2 linked regions of the Anolis sagrei genome follow. The protein of the gene in region 1 purifies or fractionates together with the protein of each later gene. This does not show direct contact. Links are inferred from orthologs where the notes say so. Each region holds a gene or a part of one and is shown on either strand. Other genes may lie near its edges. The genes, in order: RAB8A and GDI2.

What was found.
Region 2: the proteins of RAB8A (region 1) and GDI2 purify together in Homo sapiens (co-immunoprecipitation; 5 studies listed by BioGRID and IntAct, with this or other methods). This does not show direct contact. The link is inferred for Anolis sagrei from reciprocal best matches to the Homo sapiens genes RAB8A and GDI2.

The regions. Positions count from the first base shown.
Region 1 is NC_090034.1:59,401,086-59,417,996, reverse strand, and holds the start of RAB8A (ras-related protein Rab-8A), read right to left. Parts: upstream 6,932-16,911; 5' UTR 6,891-6,931; coding exon 6,767-6,890; intron 3,354-6,766; coding exon 3,293-3,353; intron 627-3,292; coding exon 566-626; intron 1-565. Other genes in the region: AP1M1 (AP-1 complex subunit mu-1), read left to right, coding at 7,245-7,286, 12,104-12,260, 13,663-13,730, 14,489-14,619, 16,253-16,400. UniProt on the Homo sapiens protein: The small GTPases Rab are key regulators of intracellular membrane trafficking, from the formation of transport vesicles to their fusion with membranes.
Region 2 is NC_090025.1:193,948,041-193,964,216, forward strand, and holds the start of GDI2 (rab GDP dissociation inhibitor beta), read left to right. Parts: upstream 1-7,946; coding exon 7,947-8,303; intron 8,304-16,176. Other genes in the region: ANKRD16 (ankyrin repeat domain-containing protein 16), read left to right, coding at 1,739-1,899. UniProt on the Homo sapiens protein: GDP-dissociation inhibitor preventing the GDP to GTP exchange of most Rab proteins. By keeping these small GTPases in their inactive GDP-bound form regulates intracellular membrane trafficking.

The sequences.
Region 1 (16,911 bases):
TTGGTTCAATTCCATCATTGATGGAGTTCAGAATGCTCTTTGATTGTAGGTGAACTATAAATCCCAGCAACTACAACTCCCAAATGACAAAAGCATAATTTTTTGAGTGATAGTCACTCCTTGTGTTGTGAGACATTTTGTTGCCAAATTTGGTGTGATTTCGTTCATTGGTTCTTTTGTTTTTAAGGTACTCATTATGCACAGAGTATTTATATATATATATATAGAGAGAGAGAGAGAGAGAGAGAGAGAGAGAAGATAAATAAGTAAATAAATGTATAGGAGTTGTAGTTCACCTACATTCAGAGTGCACTATGAACCCAAACAATGATGGATTTTTATTATGTATCTTTTTTCACATTCCCACCCATAAATGTATATATAAGTCCCAGTTTCCTTATTGCACCTCCAACTATTTTGTAGATTGCTTCTGTTACAATATTCTGAAGCTGACTTTTAGAAAGTTGCCATTGCAGGAGGGGAATGTGGGGGACGTGGGAAATATGGGGAGAAAAACAAGTCAACGCGGAGCAGAAGGGGATCCCATAGGAAGCACTGCACCCACCATGGCTCCTCGGTAATACGCCGTGGTGATGGTCCGGAAGCGCTCCTGCCCAGCCGTGTCCCTGCAAGGGCAGAACAGCATGGAAGAGAAGAGAAGAGAGTGGTGGTGTTATTGCCATTGTACGCCATGCAACGGAACCCAATGCCATGCCCAACACGCATCCAGGATAAGACTACTGCAATGCACTCTACGTGGGGTTGCATTTGAAGACTGCTCAGAAGCTTCAAATAGTCCAACGAGAGGCAGCCAGGTTAATAACTGGGGCGGCACACAGGGAGCACACAACTCCCATGTTACGCCAGCTCCACTGGCTGCCAGTTTGCTACCGGGCACAATTCAAAGTGCTGGCTTTGGCCTATAAAGTCCAAATCCATCTCCCCCTATGAACCATCGTGGAGATTAAGATTCTCCGGGGAGGCCCTGCTCTCCATCCCGCCATTGTCACAGGCGCAATTGGTGGGGACGAGAGACAGGGCTTTCTCGGTGATTGCCCCCCGCCTATGGAATTCCCTTTCTGGTGAGATCAGATTGGCCCCCTCCCTCCTGCCTTTCAAAAAGAGGGTAAAAACTTGGCTGTGGGACCAAGCTTTCGGGACAGGGCCATAAGGCAGCGATAGGAAACTTCCCCAGGCCAATTTAGATTTGACGCAGATGACCAAGACAGTTTTAAACAGTGCATTTTAATATTTTGATAAATGTTTATGCATATTCATATGAATTCTTGTCCCAGCATTGAATGTTTGCCATATATATGTTGTGCACCACCCTGAGTCCCCTTTGGGGTGAAAAGGGCAGAATATAAGTGTTTTAGATAAATAAATAAAATAATTATTATGTATTTAGGATTACATAAATAGAACACCCATGCTTCCCTATTCTGATTGGTCTTGTACAGCCCCGTAATGCCAATGTGTTGGTGCATTGAGGGATAGATGGGTGGGGAGATAGATAGATAGATAGAGATACAGGTGAAGAGACAGAGAGAGGGAGAAGAGAAATGTATTGGTGGATGGATGGGGAGGTAGATAGATAAAGACACAGGCGAAGAATTGGAGATAGAAAGAGAGAAATGTATTGGATTGAGGAGATGGATAGATAGAAACACAGGTGTAGAGAAACAAATGGATGGATGGGGAGATAGATAGATAGACAGATAAAGACACAGGTGAAGAGACAGATAGTGATAAATGCATTGATGAATGAATGGATGGGGAGATAGATACAGGCGAAGAATTTGAGAGATAGAAAGAGAGAAATATATTGGTGGATGGATGAATGATGGGGAGATAGATAGATAGATAGAGAAAGACTCAGGTGAAGATATGCATCTATATAAATGAAAATGTAATGTTATTTGTGAGATTAACATAACTCAAAAATCACTTGACGAATCAGACTAATGTCTGATCCCACAGCAAGCTGGCTTCAGGAAAGGCAAAAGCTGCACATCGCAAGTGCTGAACCTGACTCAGCACATAGAAGATGGCTTTGAAAGGCAGCAGATCACAGGAGCTGTCTTCATAGACCTGTCAGCGGCCTATGATACTATAAACCACCGCCTCCTCCTGAGAAAAATGTATAATATCACAAAGAATTACCACCTCACCCACCTCATAGGAAACCTGCGACAAAACAAGACCTTTTTTGTTGAGTTTCAGGGCCAGAGAAGAAGATGGCGCCAGAAACAGAAGAACGGCCTGCCTCAGGGAAGTGTGCTTGCTCCATCCATGTTCAACATCTACACAAATGACCAGCCACTGCCAGAAGGGACAGAGAGTTTCATCTATGCAGATGATTGTGCTATCATCGCTCAAGCAGGGAGCTTTGAGATGGTAGAACAGAAGCTCTCTGAAGCTCTAGATGCCCTTACCGCATACTACAGGGAAAACCAGCTGATCCCTAATCCATCTAAAACACAGACATGTGCTTTTCACCTTAAAAACAGACAAGCATCCCGAGCTCTGAGGATCACCTGGGAAGGAATCCCACTGGAGCATTGCAGCACACCCAGATACCTGGGAGTCACTCTGGACCATGCTCTGACCTACAAGAAGCACTGCCTGAATATCAAGCAAAAAGTAGGTGCTAGAAACAATATCATACGAAAGCTGACTGGCACAACCTGGGGATCACAACCAAACACAGTGAAGACATCTGCTCTTGCACTATGCTACTCTGCTGCTGAGTACGCATGCCCAGTGTGGAACACATCTCACCACACTAAAACAGTGGATGTGGCTCTTAATGAGACATGCCGCATTATCACGGGGTGCCTGCGCCCTACACCACTGGAGAAATTACATTGTTTAGCCGGTATCGCACAACCTCTAGTGTGATAAGGTTTATAGAGGGACATGTATCGCTGGATGGTTGGGGAGATAGACAGACAGACAGATAGATAGACAAATAGGAGTCAAGTATCCAGACAGAGGAAAGTAATAAAGGAAATGCTTGACAATAGTAAAAAATGAACATGAGCCAAGAGTGTGCCGAAGCAGCAAAAAAGGCCAATGTGATCCTAGGCTGCAGGAAGTTGGACAGTCGCCTGTTCTGCCTGGGAGCCTGTGTGAGTCTCCTTCGCTATAGGCTTTGAATCAGAGGCTGGGTGGCCAGCTGCCAGGAGGGGTTGGGTTGTGCTTTCCCTGCCGGGTGGAAAGAAAAGGTTGGACTGGGTGGCCTTTGGGGGTCCCCACCCAACCTTAGAATCCTATGAAATCGGATGTGTACCAGATCTGGAGTTTGATCTTTTTCCCATCGAGGTCAATTGTCCTGATCTTGAAGTCAATGCCTGCAAAAGAGAAGCGGGGTTACCATCTGGGGGATCTCACAGGGTGAGATCTTGTGTGGAGCCCCAGATTGAGGGAGATTATCAGCAGTCTTGTATCTCTTCCATTTCCTACGGTTGATGTCTTCACATCAAGCCGCTTGCCTATTGCAGTTTCAGTCTTCCCAGTCTGGTGCAGGGCGACAATTTTGTTTCTGGTGTCCTTCGACAGCTCTTTGGCCTTCACCAGAGTGGAGTCTGGAGTGTGACTGCTTCAGGTTGTGGACAGGTGTCTTTTAGACTGATAACAAGTTCAAATAGGTGCCATTACTACAGGAGGGCAGAGGAGCCTGTCTATGAGACCCAGAAATCTTGATGTTTGTAGGTTTTGTTTTTGTCGTGTCAGGAGCAACCTGAGAAACTGCAAGTCGCTTCTGGTGTGAGAGAATTGGCCATCTGCAAGGACATTGCCCAGGGGACGCCTGGATGATTTGATTTTTTTTCATCCTTGTGGGAGGCTTCTCTCATGTCCCCGCATGAGGAGCTGGAGCTGATAGAGGGAGCTCATCTGCCTCTCCCCGGATTCGAACTTGCGACCTGTCGGTCTTCAGTCCTGCCGGCACAGGGGTTTAACCCACTGCGCCACCGGGGGCTCCTATAATAACAATAATAATAATAATGGAAGAGACCCCCGTGTCTTCCAGCATCTGAATAATAATAATAGTAATAGTTGGAAGAGACCCCCAAAGGCCATCCAGCCTCTACATAATAATAATAATAATAATAATAATAATAATAATAATAATAATAACAACAACAATAATGGAAGAGACCCACGTGTCATCCAGCATCTAAACAATAATAATAATAATAATAGTAATAGTAATAGTTGAAAAAGACCGCTAAAGACCATCCGGTCTCTGCATAATAATAATAATAATAATAATAATAATAATAATAATAACCCACTGCGCCATCGGGGGCTCCATTGTTTGTAGGTGACCAAATACTTATTTTCCACCATAATTTGCAAATAAATTCATTAAAAATCAGACAATGTGATTTTCTGGATGTGTTTTCTCATGTTGTATCTCATAGGTCTACCTATGATGTCAATTACAGGCCCCCGGTGGTGCAGTGGGTTATACCCCTGTGCCGGCAGGACTGAAGGCCAACAGGTCGCAGGTTCGAATCCGGGGAGAGCACGGATGAGCTCCCTCTGTTAGCTCCAGCTATTCATGCGGGGACATGAGAGAAGCCTCCCACAAGGATGATAAAACAGCCAGGTTGTTAACAGGAGTGGCACTCAGGGAGCACACCACTCCTCTGTTGCGTCAACTCCACACAATTCCGGGCACAATTCAAAGTGCTGGCTTTAGCCTTTAAAGCCCTAAACGGTTCTGGCCCGACCTATCTGTCCGAACGCATCACCCCCTATGAACCAGTTAGGACATTAAGATCGTCCGGGGAGGCCCTGCTCTCGATCCCGCCAGCCTCACAGGCACGGCTGGCGGGGACGAGAGACAGGGCCTTCTCAGTGGTGGCCCCTCGGCTGTGGAACGCCCTTCCCGCAGACATTAGGTCGGCCCCCTCCCTGCTGACGTTCAGAAGAAGAGTGAAGACCTGGCTCTTTGAACAGGCGTTTAATTAAGCAGTGCAATTAACTGATTGATCTTGGAACTTGGAATAATGGACGAGGAAATCGGATTATGACTTTACTGATGAGACGTGATGAGTTAGTTATTATGGATGTATTGATGTTATATTGATGTATTGATGTGCTGTTATATTATTTATTTATTTATTTGCTTTATTTCTATACCGCATTTTTCAGCCCTTAACAGGCGACTCAATGCGGTTTACATGGTACAATTATCAAACAGTGTCAGTGCAATTAAAACATAACAATGGAACAAACAGGATCAACAGCATCAATCCACAACAGTTAACAATCAACAAGACAGATCAACAAAACAGACATAACATAACGCCTCAGTTGAAATCAGATCCGTTCTCATAATCCTTGTGCCATTCCTATGTTCCATTTACCGTCTTCCTATGATTGGTTGCACTGCTTAACCAAACGCTTGTTCATAAAGCCAGGTCTTAACCATTCTCCGAAACGTCAGCAGCGAAGGTGCCTGTCTGATGTCTGCCGGTAGGGGCCACCACTGAGAAGGCCCTGTCTCTCGTCCCCGCCAAGCGCACCTGTGACGCAGGCGGGATCGAGAGCAGGGCCTCCCCAGACGATCTTAATGTTCTGGTCGGTTCATAGGTGGAGATGCGTTCGGAGAGGTAAGCAGGGCCAGAACCGTTTAGGGCTTTATAGGCTAAAGCCAGCACCTTGAATTGTGCCCGGTAGCGGATTGGCAGCCAGTGGAGCTGGTTCAGCAGAGGAGTGGTATGCTCCCTGAGTGCCGCTCCCGTTAGCAACCTGGCCGCCGAGCGCTGGACCATCTGAAGCTTCCAGGCAGTCTTCAAGGGCAACCCCACGTAGAGCGCGTTGCAGTAATCAATCCGGGATGTAACCAGAGCGTGGACTACCGTGGCCAAGTCAGACTTCCCAAGGTACGGGCGCAACTGGCGCACAAGTTTGAGTTGTGCAAATGCTCCCCTGGACACCGCCGAAACTTGGGGTTCCAAGCTTAGCGAAGAGTCCAGGATCACACCCAAGCTGCGAACCTGCGTCTTCAGGGGGAGTGTAACCCCGTCTAACACAGGCTGTAACCCTATACCCTGTTCGGCCTTGATGTAGTTGCCTTAGTTACTGTTTTTAAATGCTAGTGTTGTGCACTTTGTATATTGACCTGGTTGTAAACCGCACTGAGTCGCCTACGGGCTGAGAGAGTGTGGTATACAAATAAAGTAAATAAATAAAACATCAAAAAATCATCCAGGCATCCCCTGAGCAACGCCTTTGCAGCCGGCCAATTCTCTCACACCAGAAGCGACTTGCAGTTTCTCAGGTTGCTCCTGACAGGACGAAAAAAAATACAGGCCTCTCTCATCTTTTTAAGTGGGAGAACTTGTACAATTGGTACCTGACTAAATACTTCCCCCCTCCCTGCATATATATATATATATATATATATATATATTCTCAGTTATCCAGGGAAACCCTCAAGCAACTGACAAAAAAACCTACATCAAAGACAGAATGCTTCCAATGCATCACTTTCAGAATACACTAAACCAGTAAGAAGCCTGTTGCATCCAGCTTGCCCTAACCAAGCGCAGAGTGGATGCCCTGGGAGATGGTCCAGCATGAGGCCTACTTGGAGCCCATTCTCCCCTCAACCGGAAGAGGAGCCCTACTGCTCTCCAGCTAGAAGGTGGGCGTTCGTTGCCATGGCGACCGGGAGGTGGGTCCGGGGCGTCGCCATAACAACCCCTCCCTCCCCTCCCTCAATCCCACCGGTTGCCTGGCAACGACGCACCGATGGTGGAAATGAACGTGGCGTTGAAGGCGTCCTCGCTGAAGCGGAAGAGCGCGCACGTCTTGCCCACGCCGGAGTCGCCGATCAGCAGCAGCTTGAAGAGGTAGTCGTAAGTCTTCGCCATGTCTTCCTAGGCCTGCGAGGAGCCGCCGCGGCTCGCGATAGGCCCACGTCGCTGTCCGTCAGAACGCGCCGGACTCCCATTGGCTTGGCCGTTCGCCGGCGCACTCCTCCTCGAGCAGGAAGAGTGGGGAAACTTGTGATTGGCTGCGTCGGCGCTAACGTCCCGCCCATTGGCTAGAGAAACTTGCAATTGGTCCGTGCGCTGGATGACGTCAATAAGGAATGAGGCTTGTCCGCTCTAGAGTGGGGAAACTTGCGATTGGTGCGTGCGCTGGCTGACGTCACGGTGTGGTCCGCCCGTTGCTTGTCTGGCCGGAAGCGGAAAAGGAGCTCCGGCGCCTGCCGCGGATCCAAGATGTCCGCCAGCGCCGTCTACGTGCTGGACCTGAAGGGAAAGGTGAGGTTTCCTCTCTTCACCATTCTTCTTCTTCTTTTGTGATTGTTATTAGGTGTACTTGGCTTTGGACCTGCCTTGTAACCTGTCCTTCTAGGCTGGCTGTACTGTTATGGCAGATGAGGAGAAACGGGTTTTAGTTGGGGCCTTTCCCCCTTCCGTTGCCTTAATTCGCTCTACGAAAGCTGACTGGCACAACCTGGGAATCACAACCAGATACAGTGAAGGCATCTGCCCTTGCGCTTTGCTACACAGCTGCTGATTATTTATTTTATTTTATTTATTATTTAAACTTATATGCCGCCAATCCCCTGGGGCTCGGAGCGGCTTACAAGAATAGCTAAAATCTAACAAAGTTTAAAAGCAATTTAAAACAATTTAAAAACAACAGTATCAAACATTAAAAGCCTGTTGAAACAGGTATGTCTTACATGCTCTGCGGAAAGCTGGTAAGTCCCGCAGGGCACGAACTTCAGGTGGCAGAGTATTCCAGAGTGATGGGGTAACTGCTGTAAAGGCTCTGCATCTGGTTGCTGTTAGACGCAAGGTCTTGACACTGGGGGCTTCCAATAGATCTTGGTCCTCAGAACGGAGGGATCTCTGGGGTTGGTAGGGGGTGAGGCGGTCCCTCAGGTACATTGGCCCCAGACTATGCAAGGCCTTAGAGGTGAGTACCATCACTTTGAAAGTGATCCGGTGCTCAATTGGTAACCAATGCAGCTGCAGTAAGATTGGAGTTATGTGGCATCTCATCAGAATTCCCGCAAGAAGCCGAGCAGCTGCATTTTGTACCAACTTGAGCTTCTGAATCACCAACAGAGGGAGGCCAATGTAGAGGGTGTTACAGTAGTCCAGTCTTGAGATGACCGTGGCCTGGATCACCGTAGCTAGGTCGTCCCTGGACAGGTAGGGGGCCAGCCGTCTAGCCTGCCGCAGGTGAAAGAAGGCGGTTCTGCTCACGGCGGAGACCTGGGCCTCCATTGTCAGCAGAGGGTCCAAAAGGACTCCCAGACTCTTTACCAATGATGACGGGCGTAACGCCTCGCCATCCAAGGTGGGCAGATGGATGTCCCCACTGCCCGGTCCACCCAGCCATAGGATCTCCGTCTTTGCTGGATTCACCCTCAACCTGCTGGCACGCAGCCATCCAGTAACAGCCTCGAGGCACTGATGGAAACAATCGGGTACAGAGTCCGGTCGGCCTTCCATCTTCAGCACCAGCTGAGTGTCATCGGCATACTGATAACACTCAAGCCCAAAACCTCGAACCAGCTGAGCAAGTGGTCGCATATAGATGTTAAACAACAGAGGGGAGAGAATGGCCCCCTGAGGAACCCCACAAGATAGAGGGGACCTCTCAGAGACCAGGCCTCCCCTCTCCACTCGCTGTCCACGGTTGTGAAGAAAGGAGGACAGCCAGTTTAAAGCTGCCCCCCTGACTCCAGCAACATCAAGGCGGTGGGTCAAGAGATTGTGGTCGACTGTGTCAAATGCTGCTGTGAGATCCAATAACACAAGCAGTGCTGACCCGCCCTGGTCAAGCTGGCATCGAAGGTGATCCATGATGGAGACCAGCACAGTCTCTGTCCCATGCCCCGCACGGAAGCCGACTGGAAGGGTTCTAGTCCGGCTGTGTCGTCAAGGAATTGCTGCAACTGCTCCGCTGCTGCCCTCTCAATCACCTTGCCCAGGAACAAGAGATTTGAAACTGGGCGGTAACTGGAGGGAACCGAGGGATCTAAATCTGGTTTCTTCAGCAAAGGAGAGACCACCGCCTCTTTTAAACCCTCTGGAAAGACTCCTTGCTCAAGGGAGCTGTTTATAATCTTCAACAGAGGGTCACGTGATCCCTCCAAGCAGGATTTCACCAACCAAGAGGGACACGGATCGAGGGAGCAAGTGGTCGGTCTAGCTGCAGCTATGAGCCTATCGACAGCCCCTGCATCCAGTGGGATGAACCGGTCGAGGATGGGCCCAGCAAGTGGCCACGGGGTCTCAACTGCATTCCCAGTGTGGAACACATCTCACAACTGCGTTGTTGTAGGCGTTTGGGGGCTATATGACCATGTTCTGGAGGCAATTTTTCTCCTGACGTTTCACCTGCATCTGTGGCAGTGGTTCTCAACCTTGCTAATGCCGTGACCCCTTAATGCAGTTCCTTATGTTGTGGTGACCGCAAACCATAATATTGTTTTCGTTGCTACTTGATACTTGTCATTTTACTACTGTCATAAATCATAATGTAAATATCCGATATGAGGATGGATTTTCATTAACTGGAGTAAATTGAGCACAAATACCCAATATGCCCAAATGTGAATGCTAGTGGGGTTGGGGAGGATTGATTTTGTAATTTGGGAGTTGTAGTTGCTGGGATTTATAGTTCACCTGTAATCAAAGAGCATTCTGAACTCCACCAGCGATGGGTTTAAACTGAACCTGGCACACAGAACTCCCATGACCAACAGAAAACCCTGGAAGGGTTTGGTGGGCATTGACCTTGAGTTTGGGAGTTGCAGTTCACCTACATCCAGAAGAGTGCTGTGGATTCATGCAATGATGGATCTGGACCAAACTTGGCATGAATACTCAATATGCCCAAATGTGAACACCGGTGGAGTCTGGGGAAATTGACCTTCACATTTGGGAGTTGTAGTTGTTGGGATTTACAGTTCACCTACAATCAAAGAGCTCCACTGGCTACCGATTAGCTACCGAGCCCAATTCAAAGTGCTGGCTTTGACCTTTAAAGCCCTAAACGGTTCTGGCCCTACATACCTATCCGAACGTATCTCGGCCTATCAGCCCACCAGGACCCTAAGATCTTCAGGAGAAGCCCTTCTCTCCATCCCGCCTGCTTCACAAGTGCGGCTTGCGGGAACGAGAGATAGGGCCTTTTCTGTGGTGGCCCCCCGGCTTTGGAATGCCCTCCCTACTGAAATAAGATCAGCCACCTCGCTAATGGCATTTCGGAAAAAACTGAAAACTTGGATGTTCGAGCAAGTTTTCAACTAATTCCGATGTGATGATGTTTTGATCATGGACTAGCAATCAAGGATAACGAATTGGATTACGACTTTAATTATGAGATGTTCCGGTCTGTATTGGTGGCCCAATACTATGTATGTATATGTATGTATTTTTATATTTTATTTTATATTTTTAAAGTGAATATTGTATTTTTAAATATGTTGTAAACCGCAATGAGTCGCCGCACAGGCTGAGATATTAGCGGTATACAAGTGTACTAAATAAATAAATAAATAAAATAAATTCTGTACTCAACCAACCATAGAATTGGGTCAAACTTCCCACACAGAATGCCAATGACCAACAGAAAATACTATGTTTTCTGATGGTCTTTGGCGACCCCTTTGACACCCCTTCATGACCCCCTTAGGGGTCCCGACCCCCAGGTTGAGAAACACTGATCTATGGCAAGCATCCTCAGAGGTAGTGAGGTTTATTGGAAGTAGGAAAAATGGGTTTATATATCTGTGGAATGACCAGGGTGAGAGAAAGGACTTTTGTCTGCTGGGGCTAGGTGTGAATGTTTCAGCTGATCACCTTGATTAGCATTCAATGGCTTGGAAGTGCCTGGGGGGAATCTTTTGTTGAGAGTGATTTTATGTGCCTGTTTGTTTCCCCTCTGTTGTTTTGCTGTTGTAATGCTTTGTTTTAATGTTTTGCTGTTATAATCTCACAACGTTAAAATGGGATGTGTGCACTACAAATAAGATATGTGCAGTGTGCATAGTAATTCATTCATGCTTTCTTTCAAATTATAATCCGGCCCTCCAACAGTTTGAGGACCCCTGATCTATTGGTTTATATTAAATATAATAATAATAATAATAATAATAATAATAAATATGTATTGTCGAAGGCTTTCATGGCCTGAATCACTGGATTGCTGTAGGTTTTTTTGGGCTATATGGCCATGGTCTAGAGGCATTCTCTCCTGACGTTTCGCCTGCATCTATGGCAAGCATCCTCAGAGGTAGTGAGGTCTGTTGGAACTAGGAAGAAGGGGTTTATATATCTGTGGAAAGACCAGGGTGGGACAAAGGACTCTTGTCTGCTGGAGCTAGGTGGGAATGTTTCAACTGACCACCTTGATTAACATTTGAAGGCCTGGCAGTGCCTAGAGCAAACTTTTGTTGAGAGGTGATTAGCTGTCCCTAGTTGTTTCCTCTCTGTTGTTTTGCTGTTGTAATTGGTAGAGACGAGAGACAGGGCCTTCTCAGTGGTGGTTCCTCAGCTGTGGAGCTCCCTTCCCAGCAACATCAGGCAGCCTCCATTCCTTCTGACTTTCAGAAAAAGCTAAATTCTTGGCTTTGCACACAAGCTTTCGAAGAATAAGTTATTACAGGTTTCGACACGGTCTGATTTAAGGATTTGAGCAAGGTTATCGGATGAATGGAACTATCCACCTTATATGTTTTTAATTTGTATACTGTTTTATTGATTAACTGTTAATTGTTTTGACTGTGGGGTAAGTTTCTATTGTTTATTGTGGGGTTTTACTGGCACTGAATTCTTGCCGGAGCTGTAAGCTGCCTTGAGTTCCCTCGGGTGAGAAAGGCTGGGAAATAAATAAATAAATATTTAATTTTTTAAAAGGTTGTAGTAGCTTTGTTTTTTATTGATATTAGATTGTGGGCCGCCTTCAGTCCCAACAGAGGAGAGTAAGGCAGAATATTTATATATTAGTTAATAATGCTAATAATCTCCTTTTTGGTGCCAAGAGGAACCTCCAGGTGAGCCTTACCCTGATTATGCTATTGAATACCTATTCAATATGTCACCTTGCTTTCCAGGTTCTCATCTGTAGGAATTACCGCGGGGATGTGGACATGTCAGAAGTTGAGCATTTCATGCCCATCCTGATGGAGAAGGAGGAGGAAGGGACGCTCTCGCCCATCTTGGCACATGGAGGCGTCCGCTTCATGTGGATCAAGCACAACAACCTGTATTGTATCCTTTGCCAAAGGCGTGTGCCCGCCATCACCAGCTCCTTCGACCTTTCCTTGGAGGGTTTGGTCTTTGGTCTCTGGGCCAAATTTCAGTTTGTCTGTATAATCCAGCTAGACGGAGATAATGTGAATGATCAGCTTTGATAATGTGGATTATATGGCAGTGTAGAAGGGGGCTAGGAATTGGGTCTTGCTTGGAAGGGGCTCCTGTTTTGTGGAATTTTGCAGCAAGATGTGTCTGTGCAGGCTTCCCTAATAATGAGGCCAAAAATGAGCCAGACCTTTTGCTTGTTAAGTTTTAAATTAAAATAATTTTATTTGAAAATTAAAACAACACTTCTGATGTGGCTTTTTAGCATTGTGTGCCTCCGTCTTGAGATATTTTGATTGTGTGGCTTACGGCTAAGACCTTTTTTATTCGGGCTGGCTTTTAAAGAAGAAGGTTTTTTGAGATCAAGTGCCGTGGCGTCTAGTTTTGAATATGTTTTATGGATTTTAACTGAATAATAATATCTATCTGATCTGCTTTGAGTCTCCTTGTGGAAAAAAGTGGGGTGTAAAAAAGCATAATGATGATAATAATATCTATCTTTGAGCTGCTTTGAGAGGAGCCCCCACTGATGCAGGATTGCTGACCAATAGGTCAGTGGTTCGAATCTGGGGAGAGCGGGTTGAGTTCCCTCTGTCAACTCCAGCTCCCCATGTGGGGACATAAGAGAAGCCTCCCACAAGGAAGGTAAAATATCAAACATCCTGGCATTCCCTGGGCAACGTCCTTGCAGACAGCCAACTCTCACACCAGAAGCAACTTGCAGTTTCTCAAGTCACTCCTGACATGAAAAAAAGCCGCTTTGAGTCTCCTTGTGGAGAGAAAAGTGAGGTATAAACAAACAATAATAATAATAATATTAATAGATCAGCTTTGAGTCTCCCTGTGGAGAGGAAAGTGAGGTATAAACAAACATAATAATAATAATAATAATAATAATAATAATAGCAGCAATAATAATAATAATATCTATCTTTGATCAGCTTTGAGTCTCCTTGTGGAGAGAAAAGAGGGGTGAAAATAAATGATGATGATAGTATCTATCTTTGTGCTGCTTTGAATCTCTTTGTAGAGAGAAAAGGTGGGGCATAAGTAAACATTAAAGGCATTACAATACAATTTAAAATATACAAATATGAAAACAGAATTAAACATCACTAGTATTATAAACAAGTTAAATCCATAAAACATTTTCAAATTTTAACTATTCAAACCAGGGAAGTTCCAAGTCCTTGTCCAATCAGCTTTAAGGATTTTAATTGTTTGTTTTTAATACCATGAATGTAAAGTGTAAATTCTAGGTAAACTTGAATATATCCCAAGTGTTGGACAGGCTCCTGAACCTTTTCTCCAGTGGTGGCCACCTCGAAAAAGAATGCCTGCGTCTCATTGGTGTTCTCCTTTCTGTACAAAGTGGTTCAGGTGAGTGCGGCAGGCTATTAGGTGACCTGACCTGGACAGGTAAGCTTTGGGGGAAGCTTCCTTTTGGGACTCTGCCACCTTCCTCTATGGCAGGGGTTCTAAAACCCTTTTCAGCCACAGAGCCCGTTTTGAAGCAAAATATTTCTTGTGGAGCCTCAAGAAATGCTTATATAGTATATTATATATTATATATAATATGCAGTATCTATACCAGGCACAGGCAAACTTTTTGACCAACATAAACATAACAGTATTTTAGTGGAAGACCCCATGGGCCATCCAGTCTCACCCCCTTTATTCTGCCTTCATGAAGGAACAGCACAAATCAAAGCACCCCCAACAGATGGCCACCCAGCCATTGGAGTAGTAGTAGTAGTAGTAGGCATTTGATTAGAGTCCAGTGGCAATAGGAAAAGGAATTTTGGGGTTTGCGACATGGATTCTCCCGGCTTGGTTTTTGGTTTTACTGGCACGTTAATTTATTGTTAAATTTACTGATGATGTTGTATAATGTTTTAAAATTATTTTATTGTTAAAATGATTTTATTGACCATCCAGGTCAATCTGCTTCAGCCATAAAGGAAAAATACAATCAAAGCACCCCAACAGATGGCCACACAAGCATTTGTAGTAGTAATAGTAGTAGTAGTAGTAGTAATAATAATAATAATAGGAGCAACCCCAGGGGCCATCCAGTCCAACCCCATTTCTTTCTGTCATGTGTGCTCCTCTTTTCTAACTTTCTCTCCCCCTCCCAGGTGTTTTCTGAATATTTCAAAGAGCTGGAAGAAGAAAGCATTCGGGACAATTTTGTGATCATTTACGAACTCCTCGATGAGCTCATGGATTTCGGCTATCCCCAGACCACCGACAGCAAGATTTTACAAGAGTAAGTGTTGCGGTGAGGCAGGCAAATGGGAGGGAGGAACCCAATGGGAGCCACAGAGAGGGAAATACGAGGGCCTTTGGTGCAGGTGGGTTGGGGGTCGTTGGGAGTGAGGCCGCTGTCGATCAGAGGAACTTATGGTGCTCTCCCTGGGAAAAAATGGTTGGAAATGTAAAGTAAATGTTATAATGAAGAAGATGCAGTTTAAGAATAGGTTAAGGAGGTGGGGTGAGGGATGGTTTTGAAACAAAGAGAAACACAATGTTTTGGAACAGAGAGAGACACAGAGATGCTGAATTGAAGGATAAAGCAGAGAGGGAAAACACAGACAGAAAAGGGGGAAAGGCAGTTTGATTGCATGTGTGCATCAGATCTGAGACTATAAACCCCATGGTGCAAAGAGCATTCCGAACTCCACCAATGATGGAATTGAACCAAACTTGGCACACAGAACTCCCATGACCAACAGAAAATACTGGGAGAGTCTGGTGGGCATTGATCTTGAGTTTGGGAGTTGTAGTTCACCTACATCCAGAGGGCACTGTGGACTCAAACAATGATGGATCTGGACCAAACTTGGCACGAATCCTCAATATGCCCAAATGTGAACACTGGTGGAGTTTAGGGAAAAAATACCTTGACATTGGGGAGTAGTTGTTACTGGGATTTATAGTTCGCCTACAATCAAACAGCATTCTGAATCACACCAATGATAGAATCGGGCCAAACTTCCCACACAGAACCCCCATGACCAATAGAAAATACTGTGTTTTCTGACGGTCTTTGGCGACCCCTCTGACACTGCCTCGTGACCCCCCCCCCCCCCGGGGGTCCCAACCCCCAGGTTGAGAAACACTGTGCTAGAGATATTTGAACACTGAGCCCCAATATGTGTGTGTGTTTGCGGAGGGCTCGAAACGCAGGTGCCACTGAACAGGCATCCCCTCAAGAGTTCCCTTTCTCTCCTCGTTTCTAGTTTTCAGTTGGGATATTTATTTATTTTTTTGTCATGTCAGGAGCGCCTTAAGAAACTCCAAGTCCCTTCTGGTGTGAGAGAATTGGCCGTCTGCAAGGATGTTGCCCAGGGGACGCCCAGATGTTTTATCATCCTTTTGGGAGGCTTCTCTCATGTCCCCACACAGAGAGCTAGAGCTGTCAGAGGGAGCTCATCTGCACTCTCCCCGGATTTGAACCTCTGAGTTCTCTGGGTTGTGTGTCATAAAGACAGGCAGGTATCCAATGGGGTTGCTGTGGTCGCTTTGGGGGAGGGGGGGCATGGGGAGCTGGAGCTGACAGAGGGAGCTCATCTGTGCTCTCCCCGGATTCGAACCTCTAACCTGTCGGTCTTCAGTCCTGCCGGCACAAGGGTTTAACCCACTGTGCCACCGGGGGCTCCTAGTTGGGATATAAAAGAGTCTAGAGATATTGGGGGCACTGGGTCTCAACAAAAGGCTATCCCGGCCTCTGTTTCTGGGAATTGTAAGAATATTGTCATTGGGTACTGCAGTATTCATTGGGCAGCATGACATGAAGCCAGTTGCCTGTTTTGGAAACTATGAGTTGTCTTTTGCCAAGACATGGCTTGAATCCCTGTAGTTTTTTGCCCTTTGCAAATCTGTTGCCTGTGCTTGGGAAGGTACATCACGCAAGAAGGCCACAAGCTGGAAACAGGGGCGCCCCGTCCTCCTGCCACAGTCACCAACGCGGTCTCTTGGCGGTCCGAAGGGATCAAGTACCGGAAAAATGAGGTGTTCTTGGACGTCATCGAGTCGGTCAACCTCTTGGTACGTGCACATTTTGCTTTTGAATTGAAACACAAGTGCAGATGTTTTGAAAAAGGCTTCTCTCAGCCATTGTGAGCCCCATGCAAAAGCTTGTTTCTTGTCACCATAAGCCAGAGTGGCAAATCTGAAATTGCCAAAACAATGGTTGAGAACTCAAAGCCTCCTTCTGGGAATGAAGTCTTTTTGTCTTTTGAGCTGCTCTGAGGAGGAACAAGCGAAGCTAAGGCTGGATCCATTGTTGTTGTTATTATTTGATACACAACAACATTAGTACACAGCAAACAAGATCATTATGCTAGCTGTTGTATTGGATCACATGTCGGACATTTCCCAAGTGTCTAGGACTGTGTGATGTATCAGTGAATAATGCATGAAGAGCTGAGCAAGGGTGGGCTTTAGCAACTGACCGGTGGTGATTTTGTCAGGGCCGATTATTTTTAAGTTCAGGCCGAGGTCTTTAGGCACTGCACCAGTGTGCTGAACACCACTGGGACCAACTTGACTGGCTTGT
Region 2 (16,176 bases), on another chromosome or scaffold:
AAGGTCACGAGGGAAGGGGCAGATCTGATCTCCATCGGGAGAGAGTTCTATATCTGTGGCTGGATGGCTCTCTGTCAGGAGGGCTTTGATTGTTTTCTTGCCCTGGTGAAGGGAGTTGGACTGGATGGCCTTGAGTATTTTCTGTTGGTCATGGGGGGTCTGTGTGGGAAGTTTGCCCCAATTCTGTCCTTGGTGGGGTTCAGAATGCTCTTTGATTGTAAGTGAACTATAACTCCCAGTAACTACAACTCCCAAATGTTAAGGTCTATTTCCCCCAAACTCCATTTATATTCATATTTGGGCATATGGAGTATCTGTGCCAAGTTTGGTCCAGATCCATCGTTGTTTGAGTCCGCAGTGCTCTCTGGATGTAGGTGAACTACAACTCCCAAACTCAAGCTCAATGCCCATCAAACCCTTCTAGTGTTTTCCGTTGGTCATGGGAGTCCTGTGTGCCAAGTTTGGATCAATTCTATTGTTGGTCAAGTTCAGAATGTTCTTTGATTGTTGGTGAGCTATAAATCCCAACAACTACAACTCCCAAATGACAAAATCAATTTTTTGAGTGATGGTCACTCCTTGGGTTAGTAAGTGTCTTGTGGCCAAATGTGATGGCAATTTGTCCAGTGGTTTTTGAGTTATGTTAATCCCAGAAACAAACATTATATTTTTATTTATATAGATAGATATGCACACACACACTCCACTTGCCTCACTTCAAACCTCTGCTCAAACCTCTGATGATGCTTGCCATAGATGCAGGCAAAACATCAGGAAATAATTCTACTGGAATATGACCATACAGCCCGAAAAACTCACAGCAACCTAACAGCAACAACAGTAATATCAAAACAAATAAGTAGAGCTGATATCAACCCCTTTCTTCAAGTCTACTTCAGCTTTAGGACCCTTTCATAGTTATAGAAAGAAGATGCCTCTTTAAATGTCCTGGTTCTATCCTCCTCGGATTTGTAGTTTACCCAGGAATTATAGAATTATAGAATCAGAGTTGGAAGAGACCTCCTGGGCCATCCAGTCCAACCCCATTCTGCCAAGAAGCAGGAATATTGCATTCAAATCACCCCTGACAGATGGCCATCCAGCCTCTGTTTAAAAGCTTCCAAAGAAGGAGCCTCCACCACACTCTGGGGCAGAGAGTTCCACTGCTGAACGGCTCTCACAGTCAGGAAGTTCTTCCTCATGTTCAGATGGAATCTCCTTTCTTGTAGTTTGAGGCCATTGTTCCGTGTCCTAGTCTCCAAGAAAGCAGAAAACAAGCTTGCTCCCTCCTCCTCCCTGTGGCTTCCTCTCACATATTTATACATGGCTATCATGTCTCCTCTCAGCCTTCTCTTCTTCAGGCTAAATATGCCCAGCTCCTTAAGCCGCTCCTCATAGGGCTTGTTCTCCAGACCCTTGATCATTTGAGTCGCCCTCCTCTGGACACATTCCAGCTTGTCAATATCTCTCTTGAATTGTGGTGCCCAGAATTGGACACAATATTCCAGGTGTGGTCTAACCAAGGAGGAATAGAGGGGTAGCATGACTTCCCTAGATCTAGACACTAGGCTCCTATTGATGCAGAGCCCTCACAGTTCTCAGTGAGCTCTAGCAACTCATTCAACTACACATCTGAGGATTCCATAGGATTAAGCTGGGCTCATAATGCTGTCATTGTGCAGCGTGAAAAGGCCCCTTAGTGTGTTGTTGTTGTTCTTCTGCCTGCTTCCTCCCACAGCCTTGCATATGGCGTGCGCTGGGCAGCATACCTCGTGTGCGCACGTTCTCCTCGAGGCGGGACTGCAAGATTCGCCAGACTTCTCTGGAACACACGCCTGGCAGGTGGCCAGGAAGCCGAGCCTCCTCCAGCTTTTCGAGAAGACAAGCGTGAGCGCATGAAAACCTGCATTGATGGCAAAGAGAACAGGGACCTTTCTTTCCAGCATCTCCCATTTTTGCTGCCAATTTATGGGGAATGTTTATACTTGCCTAGGGGTCTGCTTCCCTGCAAGTCCTATCCAGTCCCTGCCTTGAGGATTGAAAAACCATTCTGGAGCAAACATTCAGTCCTGTTGGAAGACTTTTTTGAGTTGGTGATGGTGTCCACCTTGGGTCTTGTGCCAAAAAAGAGAGGTGGGAAAATAAAGACATTTGCTTGTTTGATAAAGCAGAGTTGGATAACTAGGTTCTTGTGGGTTTCCTCGGGCTATAGAGCCATGTTCTAGAGGTATTTCTCCTGACGTTTCGCCTGCATCTATGGCAAGCTTCCTCAGAGGTTGTGAGGTCTGTTGGAAGTAGGAAAAATGGGTTTATATATCTGTGGAATGGCTGGGGTGGGGCAAGGAGCTCTTCCCTGCTGCAGTTAGGTGTGAATGTTTGGCTGATCACCTTCATTAGCATTTGAAGGCCTGCCTGAGCCTGGGAAAATCTGTTGCTGGGAGGTGTTAATCTGTGCCTGGTTTTTTTTAAAAAAAAAACACTAAAATTATAACAGCTAAACAACAGAGAGGAAAAAACCAGGCACAGATTAACACCTCCCAGCAACAGAGTTTCCCAGGCTCAGGCAGGCCTTCAAATGCTAATGAAGGTGATCAGCCAAACATTCACACCTAACTGCAGCAGGGAAGAGCTCCTTGCCCCACCCCAACCATTCCACAGATATATAAACCCATTTTTCCTACTTCCAACAGACCTCACAACCTCTGAGGAAGCTTGCCATAGATGCAGGCGAAACGTCAGGAGAAATGCCTCTAGAACATGGCTCTATAGCCCGAGGAGAGTTGGATAAGTTTAGTGAGTTCAGAAGCCAACATTCTGGAGACACCCCCCCCCCCCCCCCCGGGGTTGCTCAGAATGCCAAAACTGCCAGGAAGAATATATAGTAAAGGGAAAGGTTTCCTCTCGAACATTGTCCTGCGTGCAAAAGAATGAGGAAGTACTCCATTGGTGTCACAAGTGGATGGTGAAGCAACAGCTCCCCCAGTGGCCAGAATTCAAAAAGCATGCCCTCATCAAGCTGGAATGTTAAATAGCCTCTGTGTCTCTGTCTCTATATGTTGTGTGTCTATGGCATTGAATGTTTGCCATGTTTATGTGCATTGTGATCCGCCCTGAGTCCCCTGCGGGGTGAGAAGGGCGGAATATAAATACTGTAAATAAATAAATAAATAAATAATAACAAACCATTATCTGGTGGGAGAGTCAAGAAGAATGTTTTCCTTTCAGTTTTGGGTTCTGGAAAAGATTTATAATGATTCATGCCTCAGTCGAGTCAACGTTGTTATTTTTTATCACGGTCTTGCTTTCAAGTGCTCTGTGTTTCATGTATCAAGTTTTTGCCAAACTCAAGTTGCCTATGGGATTTTCCTCCTGTTTTGTTCCATGGTTTCAAGTGTCTTGCTTTGCGGATTTCTATATACTAATGGGACTTGTTTCCCTTTGAAGCATATGGACTATCTTGGATTTTGGCCTCCAACTGTTTTGCTATTTTTTACTGCTTTGCATACATATATTCTACCAAGGTGTGATGTTTAAGGTCAGAGGTGTTCCTCCTCTGGTGTACAACATACCCAAAGAGCCCCAAAAAGAAAAGACATTTCAAATGGCTTGAACTATATTGATTTTACCATATGGTTACTTCCTTCATCTGAAATGTAGCTTGCAGCACCTGGTATTCACTGTGGTCTCCCATCCAAATACCAACCAGGTTTGACCCTGCTTAGATTCCAAGATCACTTAGGATCTGGTGCCTTTTGGTATTTAGACCATTTACCTTAGGTAAAGTTAAAGGTAGTCCCCTGTCATTAAGTCCAGACATGTCCGACTCGGGGGGGGGGGGGTGCTCATCTCCATTTCTAAGCTGAAGAGCCGGAGTTATCCATAGACACCTCCAAGGTCATGTGGCCAGCATGATTGCATGGAGTCCCATAACTTTCCCACCGGAACGGTACCTATTGATCTACTCTGTTGAACTACAACATACACACATTTGCATGTTTTCAAACTACTAGGTTGGCAGAAGCTGGGGCTAATAGCGGGAGCTCACCCGCTCCCCGGATTCGAACCACTGACCTTTCAGTCAGCAAGTTCAGCAGCTCAGCGGTTTTACCTGCTGCACCACCAGGGCTCCAGCATATAGTAGGCATGGGTAAACTTTAATTCCCACAATTCCTAACACTGTTGAATGAATATTTTAATTAAATCTTTCCAAAGTTAAACTACGAAGCCGAACAATGCTTGCGATTTTATTCTCCTCTCTTCCTCCTAAATCTTGGCAGAACACAATCCAGTTAATTCATCCAGCCGCTTTGAGTCGCTAAAGACTGATTCGGCAGGCCCAGGCAAGCATCCGTATGAAAAATGCGATGCAACTACGAAGTGTGTTTGTGTTTGCAAGGGATCACCCTTTCCGCAGACTCAGCAGCCAAAGTACTTAGGAAGGCTTTACGTCCGCTCCATGGTTTGCATCTGTCACAGAGGGACCCGTCCTCCAGGCCTGTCTCGCCCGCACTTTCCCTCTCAGTCAACCGGAATGGAGAAAGCTTTCTGCTTCCTTAAGCCTTCCATTAGGCAGCAGAAAATGTGATTTGCTTGTAATAATGATTTCTCCTGCTCCGGTTGTGAATCGCAAACAGCATCCCTGCTTCATTTCACACCGTGAGTGAAAGGTTTACTTTCAGGGCGCAGCTCATTGAAAGGCGGGAGATCCGTGTCCAGCAGGATCTCTTCTGAGATGGAGGCGGCTTATTTGGTTTTCTTTGACATTGTAGGGTACTTATTTACTTACTCGTACTCAAAGGATGATGGTCCTCCAAGGTTGGTGTTCTGGCGGTGGGTCCGTAGGTGGTGGTCTTCCATGATGGGTTTCCTTGTGGATTCGTAGGTGACTGTGGAGCCCTATTCTTGACCTGCATCTTCTCTCGCAGTGAGGACATCGGTTTCAGGTGGAAGGCAGTCCCAGTCGGGGTTGGCTTGACGCACCTTCCTCCTGGCACGTTTCTCTCTTTCACCCTCCATTCAGGCCTCTTCAAATTCTGCAGCATTGCTGGTCACAGCTGACCTCCAGCTGGAGCGCTCAAGGGCCAGGGCTTCCCACTTCTCAGTGTTTATGCCACAGTTTTTAAGGTTGGCTTTGAGCCTGTCTTTCCATCTCTTTTCCTGCCCTCCAACATTCCGTTTTCCATTCTTGAGTTCGGAATAGAGCAACTGTTTTGGGAGATGGTGTTTGGGCATCCGGACAATGTGATTGGTCCAGCAGAGTTGATGGCAGAGGACCATCGCTTCAATGCTGTTGGTCTTTGCTTCTTCCGGCATGTTGACATTTATCCACCTGTCTTCCCAAGAGATTTGCAGGATTTTCCGGAGGCAACACTGATGGAATCGTTCCAGGAGTTGCATGTGACGTATGTAGACAGTCCACGTCTCAGAAGCTTATAGCAGGGTTGGGAGGAAAATAGCTTTATAAACAAGCACCTTGGTATCCCTACGGATGTCCCGGTCCTCAAACACTCTTTGCTCCATTCGGAAAAATGCTGCACTCGCAGAGCTCAGGCGGTGTTGCATTTCAGTGTCAATGTTGATGTCTGTAGACTGTCCACGTCTCGCAGGTGTATAGCAGGGTTGGGAGGACAATGGCTTTATAAACAAGCACCTTCGTATCCTTATAGATGTCCCAGTCCTCAAACACTCTCTGCTTCATTGGGACAAATGCTGCACTCGCAGAGCTCAGGTGGTGTTGAATTTCAATGTCAATGTTGGCTTTTGTGGAGAGGTGGCTGCCAAGGGAACGGAAATGGTCAACATTTAATAATAATAATAATAATAATAAAACTTTATTTATACCCCGCTACTATCTCCCCAAAGGACTCAATGCGGCTTACATGAGGCCAAGCGCACAGTACATCAGTAAACAAAGGCAATAACAAAAACAATCAATACAAAACAATTAATATAAATCACATAAACAAAAAATATACAATAACAGTAACACACAAGCATTTAAAAATGGTGTAACATTTTCTAATGTTACACCATTAAGCTGTATCTCTGGCATTGGAGAGGGATTGGCTGGTGACTGCTGGAAGAGGACTTTGGTTTTCTTGATGTTTAATGACACGCCAAGCTGCTCGTATGCTTCTGCAAAGGTGTTTAGAGCAGCTTGTAGGTCTTCTGAATGCACACAGACGACGTTGTCATCAGCATACTGGAATTCTATAATAGATGTTGTTGTAGGGTAGGTTTAGAGGAAAGCCTTGGGATCGGATGGGAGTTGCGGTCGTCCTGGTATTGGAGCTGTTTCCACCGACTACATTGGAATTGAAGATGCCAGTTCTTGACTTCATTATATGACGGGGAATCATCACAATAAATCCTTTTCACCTCATTGAACGTCTCCCTTGGTGTGCGGCCTTTCAAGGAAAGGAACTTGAGGACTGCTCTGTGTTCCACTGGGTCCATTCTCAAACCTCACACCACTTCAGCACCTGTCTCATCAAAACCATTAAATTGGCACGTAACCTATAAAGACTTTGATCATTACACATGTGCATTTTCAGCAATCTGTGATAAACAGAAGTGGGTTAGAGAGAAATCTTTAATGAACGCCCCTTGTAAAATTGCAAATATATATATATATATCCAAGATTATAAGAGATTTCAAGATATTTAAAATCCAAGAGTTAGGTTAAAATTGCAAAATAAATCCAGAATTACAAGATATTATAAGATATTTTTAAAATTCCAGAATAATGTTTTAAAATTGCAAAAATAATCATTGCAGAATTACAACTATGTTAAGGTTAAATGCATTTTAAAAATAAATAATATATAAGAAAAATTTCTAGAATTATGTTTTAAAATTGCAAAAATAATCATGGCAGAATTACAACTATGTTAAGGTTAAATGCATTTAAAAAATAAATAATATATAAGAAAAAAATCCAGAATTAATGTTAAAAATTGCAAAAATAATCATGGCAGAATTGCAAATATTTTATTGTTAAATGCATTTAAAAATAAATAAAATAATGGGAAAAAATCCAGAATTTTGTTTTAAAATTGCAAAAATAATAATTGCAGAATTACAAATATATTAAGATTAAATGCATTTAAAAATAAAAATAATATAGGAAAAAATTCCAGAATTATGTTTTAAAATTGCAAAAATAATCATTGCAGAATTACAACTATGTTAAGGTTAAATGCATTTAAAAAATAAATAATATATAAGAAAAAATTCCAGAATTAATGTTAAAAATTGCAAAAATAATCATGGCAGAATTGCAAATATTTTATTGTTAAATGCACTTAAAAAAATAAATAAAATAATGGGAAAAAATCCAGAATTTTGTTTTAAAATTGCAAAAATAATAATTGCAGAATTACAAATATATTAAGATTAAATGCATTTAGAAAATAAATACAATATAAGAAAAAATTCCAGAATTATGTTTAAAATTGCAAAAATAATCATTGCAGAATTACAAATATGTTAAGGTTAAATGCATTTAAAAAATAAATAAAATATAAGAAAAAATTCCAGAATTATGTTTAAAATTGCAAAAATAACAATTGCAGAATTACAATTTTTTTAAGGTCAAATGCATTTAAAAATAAATAAAATATAAGAAGTTCAGGATGTATGTATTTATTTGGAGCTCAGAACCTCATTATGCACCAAAAACTTTGCAAGGCAACCTTTCCCCAGGTCCCTTCTCGCTTATGCGCCTGCGCCAAAACTCCCAGGCTCTGACGTCAGCAGGAGCCAACCAGCGTGGCAGCGGCGCCGAGGGGCGTGGCCTTCCCCCTTTCGCCCCGCCCCTTAGCGACAGCGTCTCTTAGAAGGGAGGGGAGGAAACAAAAAGTTGATTGACGTCGCCAGGGAGACCAATGACGGCGCCGGAGCGGCTCAGACACCACCTCGAGCTCCTCCCATTTTTTTCGGCCCAATGGAGAGGCCTGGGGCGGCAGGAGGGTCCCGGCAAGCCCCGCCCACCCAACGAAGCCCCGCCCCCCAGCTGGAGAGGGTGAAGGCGCCAGGAAGCTCCGCCCCAATCCTGGGAGTCCACGCCTACGCCACGCCCCCTGGACAAAACCCCGCCCCCCTGGCGCGGTCTCCTCACAGCGGCGTTGGCAGAAGCGCCTCCATTTTGCGCTCCTCCTCATCCTCCTCCCGCGAAGGAAGCGAAGCCCTCGCCGGCCCTCCTCCACCTCCTCCTCCTCCTCGGCGCCGCCGCCAGCAGGTCCTCTTCGCCGCCGCCATGAACGAGGAGTACGACGTGATCGTGCTAGGCACCGGCCTCACGGTGAGCCAGCGAGCGGGCGGGAAAGGGGAGCTAATCGAGGCAGGCTCCGCAGAGAGGACTAGGCCGCGCCCCCCCCTACTCCACCTCTCTTGTCCCTTCAGGGCCTCCGTAGACATTTCTCTTTCCCTGCAGGGAATACTCTTACTACTATTAGCAATAATATAGGGATACACTGCCAATATACAGATTATATGCCAAATTATATGATAGTATATATAATATAATATTGATATAATTTAATACAATATAGTACTACTAATAATATATTGTAATTATATATTTTATATTAAATGTAATATTACTAATATTAATATTGTGCTATGGTAATGATATACTACTAACAGTAATTTAGGGATACACTGCCAGTATACAAATTATATGGCAAATTATAAATATAAATATAAATTATAAATATATGTCATCTTGTCTTTCCTAATAATATAATATAGTTTGTTGTATATACATATAATATTTATAATATTATAATGTAATACAATACAATACTAACAATAATATAGTTATACGCTGTTTGGTTGTTCACTTAAGTAACCGGATCAAATTTTGCCATAGTCACTGTTGAATGTTTTTATATTGAATATTTTATATTGTGTATAAACTGTTTTAAATTGTAAGTCGCTCGGAGCACCTTGGTGGAGAGCGACTATTTATTTATTTATTTATTTACTTTATTTGTATACCGCTCTTCTCAGCCCTTAGGCGACTCAGAGCGGTTTACAAGTTTAGATATACAGAATACAAAATCATTGTGCATTTAAAAACAATTACTATTTATTTATTTATTATTTATTTACTGCGCTTATATACCGCAATTCTCAGCCCTTCAGGGCGACTCATTGCGGTGTACAACATGAAGAAAACAAGTGCAAGAAAACAAGACATAGTGCAAAACAGTGTACAATTCATCCTAATCATAAAAACATCTTATCAAACAACAACATCAATACAAAATCACTACTACATTCCGAGTCGTCTCATCGTCAAGTCACAATCCGATCTCTTTTCCAGTGTTCCATTCCTATGGTCAATTGCCAGTCATTGCACTTATTGGTCAAATGCCTTCTTAAATAGCCAGGTCGTTAACTTCCTGCGGAATATCAGCAAGGAGGGGGCTAGCCTGATGTCCACGGGAAGGGTGTTCCACAGCCGAGGAGCCACCACCGAGAAGGCCCTATCTCTCGTCCCCACCAGCCATGCCTGTGAGGCAGGCGGGATCGAGAGCAGGGCCTCCCCGGAAGATCTCAAAGTCCTCGTGGGCTCATAGGCCGAGAGGCGGTCAGTAAGGTATTTTGGGCCGGAACCGTTTAGGGCTTTATAGGCCAGTGCCAGCACCTTGAATTGAGCCCGGTAGCAGATTGGCAGCCAGTGGAGCTGGTACAGTAGAGGGGTTGTATGCTCCCTACGTCCCGCTCCTGTTAGCATCATGGCTGCCACACGTTGGACTAGTATTATATTGCATTACAGTACAATATTATAAATATTATATGTATATATTATATTATAACATATTATTAGAATAGCACAGGAGACAAGGTGGAACTGTCCCCTGGCCCCTCTTTCTTTGCTCTGGCCCAGAGCGGCAGTTGGTGCTGTGGGGAGGGGTCCCCAACGGATGGCAAATGCAGGAGACAAGATGGTGCTGTCCCCTGGCCTCCCCTCTCTATAAAGTGATGATGATGATGATGATGAATACTAGTAATAATAATTCAATATTATAATTATAATTATATATTTACATTACATGTAATATTACTAATAATATTACAATATAATGGTATAGTGCAATATAGTAATATATACTGATATTGTACTATGTTAATAATATAATATATTGTATGAAAATATATATTGTAAGCCGCTCTGAGTCCCCTTCGGTGTGAGAAGGGCGGAATATAAATGCCATAAATAAATAAATAATAAATATAGTGCTATGTAATATATAATATTAATAGTGTGCTATGGTTATGATATACTACTAACAATAATATAGGGATACACTGCCCGTATACAAATTATATGCCAAATTATATAGTATATATAATATACATATAATATTGATAATATTATAATGTAATACAATGTAGTACTACTACTAATAACATGATCTTATAATTATATATTTTATATTAAAGGTAATATTATTGATAATATTACAGTATAATGTTATTTTAATATGTAATATATAATATTAATATTGTGCTTCTAGCTGTCCCCTGCCACACGTTGCTGTGGCCCACATGAGGGTTCTGTGTGGAAGGTTTGCCCAAATTCTATCGTTGGTGGGGTTCGGAATGTTCTGTGATAGTAGGTGAACTATAAATCCCAGCAACTACAACTCCCAAATGTCAAGATTCTATATTCCCCAAACTCCACCAGTATTCACATTTGGGCATATTGAGTATTCGTGTAGAGTTTGGTTGAGATCCATCTTTGTTTGAGTCCACAGTGATCTCTGGATGTAGATGAACTACAACTCCAAAACCAAAGGACACTGCCCACCAAACCCTTCCAGTATTTTCTGTTGGTCGTGGGAGAATTGTGTGCCAAGTTTGGTTCAATTCCATCCTTGGTGGGGTTCAGAATGCTCTTTGATTGTAGGTGAACTATAAATCCCAGCAACTACAACTCCCAAATGACAAAATCCATTTTTTGATTGAAGGATATACATTGGGTTGTTAGGTGTCTTGTGTCCAAATTTGATGTCAATTCGTCCAGTGGTTTTTGAGTTCTGTTAATCCCACAAACGAACATTACATTTTTTTTATATAGATCTCCTTCTCTCACGTCCCTCTCAATATGCATATATACACACATAGAATCATAGAATTCTATGTGTTGTAATATATCAAAATAAGTTATGAAAATCTTGAAATTTATTTTTTCCCTTTAGTTTCTACTCCTTTATCTCATATCTCCTTCTGTGAAGTCCCTTTCAATATATATGTGTATATATATATACATACAGACACACACAAATCAATATATATATATATATATATATATATACACATATCAAATGATACATTTAAAAATAAGGTACGAAAATCTTGAAATTTATTTTTTCATTTATGTTCTATTCTAGCTCACATCCCTCTCAAATATATATATATATACACACACACACAATATATATACAAATAAGGTCCTGAAATAATTTTTTTCCTTTAGTTTCTGCCCCTTTATCTCGTATCTACTGTTACATATATTCACACATATATACATTAATATAAGCACATATAAAGTAATATATATAAAATAAGGTGTGGAAATCTTGCCCCAGGCACTAACAAAAAAAATTTCCTTTAGTTTTGTGCTTCTTTATCTCTTACTTATCTCCTGCCACATTCCTCTCAAATATATATAAATGTTAATATATACACATATAATATCATATATATATATATATGGATATATATATATATATATATATATATATATATATATATGGATATGTATGTGTCACCTTTTCTCATTTATTTGAGTTCTCTCCATTCTTGCATATCTCCTGCTATCATGTCTCCTATCTATATTTTTAAAAATCATTTTAGTTCCTTATCCTTTCTTACATATCTCCTTGGTATGTTCCTCTCATTTAATCAATCTTATTTTTTATTTTTTTATCACACCCCACCCTCTATATGTAACATTTCTCATTTATCTTTGTTCTCTATTATCATTAAAAGTGGAATTTTCCTCATTCATTCTAGGTTTTTTCCCCTTCACACATATCTCCCTTTGTCATCTTGATTTCAGGATTTCATTTTAATTTTTTTCATTGGTTTTACTTCCCCTCTCCTTTCTCACGTGCCTCCTTCTGTCATGTCCCTCTCAAATATATGTATAGTGTCCCTTCCCCACTCTTACATGTCTTCTGTCATATCTCTCTCCAAAAATATTTTTGAAGTCTCATTTATTTTTATTCCCTGCACTGTTTTCATATACTTCTTTTTTCATGCCCGTTTCAAAAAATAGAAATGTTTGACATTTTTCTGTTTACTCCCCTGCTCCATTCCCATGCATCTCCTGTTCCTCTCAAAACTATTTTCTCCTATATTTTAGTGCCTTCCCCATTGTCACACCCCCTTTTTTGAATTTTCTCTCATTTATTTCAGTTCCATATTCTTCTCATGCATCTCCTTCTTTAATATCCCTATCAAAAAAATAAAAAAAATTATGAATTTTCTCTCATTTTAGTATTTTTGCCCTCTTCTGTCACATCCCTTGGGGAAAGAAACCCTTAAAATTTCTCTCAGATCTCATTCATTTTAGTTTCTGTCACATGGTTTAAAATATTTTGGGGTTTATTTCTTCTTTTTTCAGTTTTCTGCTCTTTTTCTTTCTGTCACATGGTTTTAAATATTTTGGTTTTTTTTCTTCTTTTTTCAGTTTTCTGCTCTTTTTTCTTTCAAGTCACAATTCTTGAGATTTCTCTTGATTAGTCCCAACAGGGACAAACTTGGGAAAACAGTTTTTGAATGACAGTCAACTTACAGGTAAATCCAATTGAAATCATGGGTTTGGTCTGGTTGGGGCTAACAATAGGTTTTACACCAACCATTCTCTTTTTCTTTCTTTTTGTGGCTTAACAGATGGGACTTCCCTGCAAGGGATTCTCCTTAAAGAGCATCTGCTGTGGCTTCACATTGTAATGGATTGCTTCTCCCACTCCCCATTTTGAAGTTTTGTACCTGCTCCTTGGGTATTTGTTTGTTGTACTGATCAAGTGTTACTTGACATACTAGATCAGTGTTTCTCAACCTAGGGGTCAGGACCCCTGGAGGGGTCACGAGGGGGTATCAGAGGGGTCACCAAAGACTATCAGAAAACACAGTATTTTCAGTTGGTTATGGGGGCTCTGTGTGGGAAGTTTGACCCAATTCTATCATTGGTGGAGTTCAGTATGCTATTTGATTGTAGGTGAACTATAAATCACAGCATCTGCAACTCCCAAATGTCAAAGTCTATTTCCCCCAAACCCGACCAGTGTTAACATTTGGGCATATTGAGTATTTGTACCAAATTTGGTCCAGATCCATTATTGTTTGAGTCCACAGTGCTCTCTGGATGTAGGTGAACTACAACTCCAGAATGCTTATTATATGTATTTACTGTATTATTATAAGTGTCTTATTTTAACTTACTACGTGGAGTGTGATCAGGTCTTGTCACGCCTTGTTGTTCTGTTTCTTATTGTGATATGGCCTAAGGGCTAATCAATAAAATTACTACTAACTCCAAAATGCAAAGTCAGTGCCCACCAAACTCTTACAGTATGTTTTGTTTTGGTCATGGGAGTTCTGCGTGCCAGGTTTGGTTCACTTCCATTTTTGGTGGAGTTCAGAATTCTCTATGATTGTAGGTTAACTATAAATCCCAGCAACTACAACTCCCCAATAACAAAATCAATCCCCGCCCCCCGGCAACCCCATCAGTATTCAAATTTGGGCGTATTGAGTATTTGTGCTAAATTTGGCCCAGTAAATGAAAATCCATCCTGCATATCAGATATTTACATTACGATTCATAACAAGAGCAAAATTACAGTTGTGAAGTAGCAGTGAAAATAATGGTTGGGGGTCATCACTTGAGGAGCTGTATTAAGGGGTCACGGCATTAGGAAGATTGTGAACTACTGTACCAGATCATCACATGACACTGTAAAGCACTGCTATCCCACTTTAAATCCTATGGCAACCTCCTGCAGAATCCTGGAGTTTGTAGTTTTTAACCTAGGACTTCTCTGGCTGATAATTTTAAAGGCACCTCCCCAAACTGCAAATTCCAGCATTCCACGGGAGGCAGCCATCGGATTTAAAGTGTGATTACAGTCAGCGTCTCTCCGCCTCTACAGAATATTTTGCTGTTCTTGCTCTGTCTTCTACTCCCCCATTCAATCCCAATTACTCTTTCTGTTTTGATGACCACCCACCTTTCTGGGCTCTTATGTTTTGTGCTGTTTGTCCTTGGCATAACCTGCTCATCAAACATCAGTGGGCAGCTTTTACTGAAAGGCCGTCATAGAATATTTATTTATTTATTTAGAACTTTTATATACCGGTCTTCTTGACCTCCGAAGAGGGACTCAGGCCGTTTCACAACAAAAGATTCATAACAATAGTTTAAAACATCACATCACATAATACACTAATACATAATACATAAAATACATTAAAATACAATACTATAATTACATAAGGCCTTAGGTTTTAATTGCGTCATGGTGTCATTGTTTTTAGTGTTTTATTTTTGCTTGATGTTTATCGTTTGCTTTATGAGTTTTATTGCTGTGTTGTTACGTTGTTGTTTTGTTGGCGGCCTTGACCTTTGTAAGCCGTATCGAGTCCTTCGGGAGATGTTAGCGGGGTGTAAATAAAATTAATAATAATAATAATAATAATAATAAGGCCAAGTCGTCAGAGTGAAATCACAATTCATCACCATCCGTCCGTGTGTTCAAGGGTTATTGACTCCCTCATCAAATGTTAAATTCCAGAGCCAAGTTTTCACCAGCTTTCTAAAAGACAGGAGAGAAGGGGCAGTTCTAATCTCCAGTGGGAGAGAGTTCCAGAGCTGAGGGGCCACCACAGAGAAGGCCCTGTCCCTCGTTCCCACCAGACACGATTGCAAGGGTGGTGGGACTGAGAGCAGGGCCCTTCCTGAAGATCTTAACAACCTTGATGGTTCATAGGGGAGAATCCGTTCGGACAGGTAAACTGGGCCAGAGTCGTTTAGGGATTTATATGTCAGCACCAGCACTTTAAATTGTGCTCGGAAGCTAATTGGCAAAGGTCCATGAAATCAAGCACCCTTTCCTCCATAACAGTCAGTCTAATGATCATGAGCACCCCACAAGCAGGATGTGAAGGCAGTAGTAGAACCCTCCTGATCTATAGTAGTCCTCTTCCTGGTGTGAAGACTCTCCTTTAGCATCATGATGTACCTCAAACCAAATTGGTGGCTCTCTCTCCTTGCAGGACTGAACTCCATGGGTTTATATAGTATTATGTGTATGTTTTCTGATGATTATTTTGCATGTTTTGTGTTGGCAATTGCGATGCTTTACCTTTGCTGAAAACGCCACGAGACCCCTCAGGAAGATAGAGCAGGATACAAATGAAATTTATTATTATTATTATTATTATTACTACTACTACTACTACTATTATCTGGAGCCCTGGTGGCGCAGTAGGTTAAACCCCTGTGTCGGCAGGACTGAAGACCGACAGATCGCAGGTTCAAATCTGGGGAGAGGCAGATGAGCTCGCTCTGACAGCTCCAGCTCTTCATGCGGGGACATGAGAGAAGCCTCCCACAAAGATGATAAAAACATCAAAAATCATCTGGGCGTCCCCTGGGCAACGTCCTTGCAGATGGCCAATTCTCTCACACCAGAAGTGACTTGCAGTTTCTCAAGTCGCTCCTGACACGACAAAAAGTATTATTATTATTATTATTCCATAAGCTTTTATTTATTCTAGCTTTTTGTTCCCATTGCAATACACATTTAACATGTTTTGCCAGTTTTTTTTTTATTTCTTGATCTGATTCTTTATTATTATTATTATTATTAATATTAATATTATTAGGTTGCTGTAAATTTTTTCGTGCTATATGGCCATATGGATATTTTATTGTATTGTCGAAGGCTTTCATGGTCGGAATCACTGGGTTGTTGTAGGTTTTTTAGGGCTATATGGCCATATGGATATTTTATTGTATTGTCGAAGGCTTTCATGGTCGGAATCACTGGGTTGTTGTAGGTTTTTTAGGGCTATATGGCCATGGTCTAGAGGCATTCTCTCCTGATGTTTTGCCTGCATCTGTGGCAAGCATCCTCAGAGGTAGTGAGGGAGGT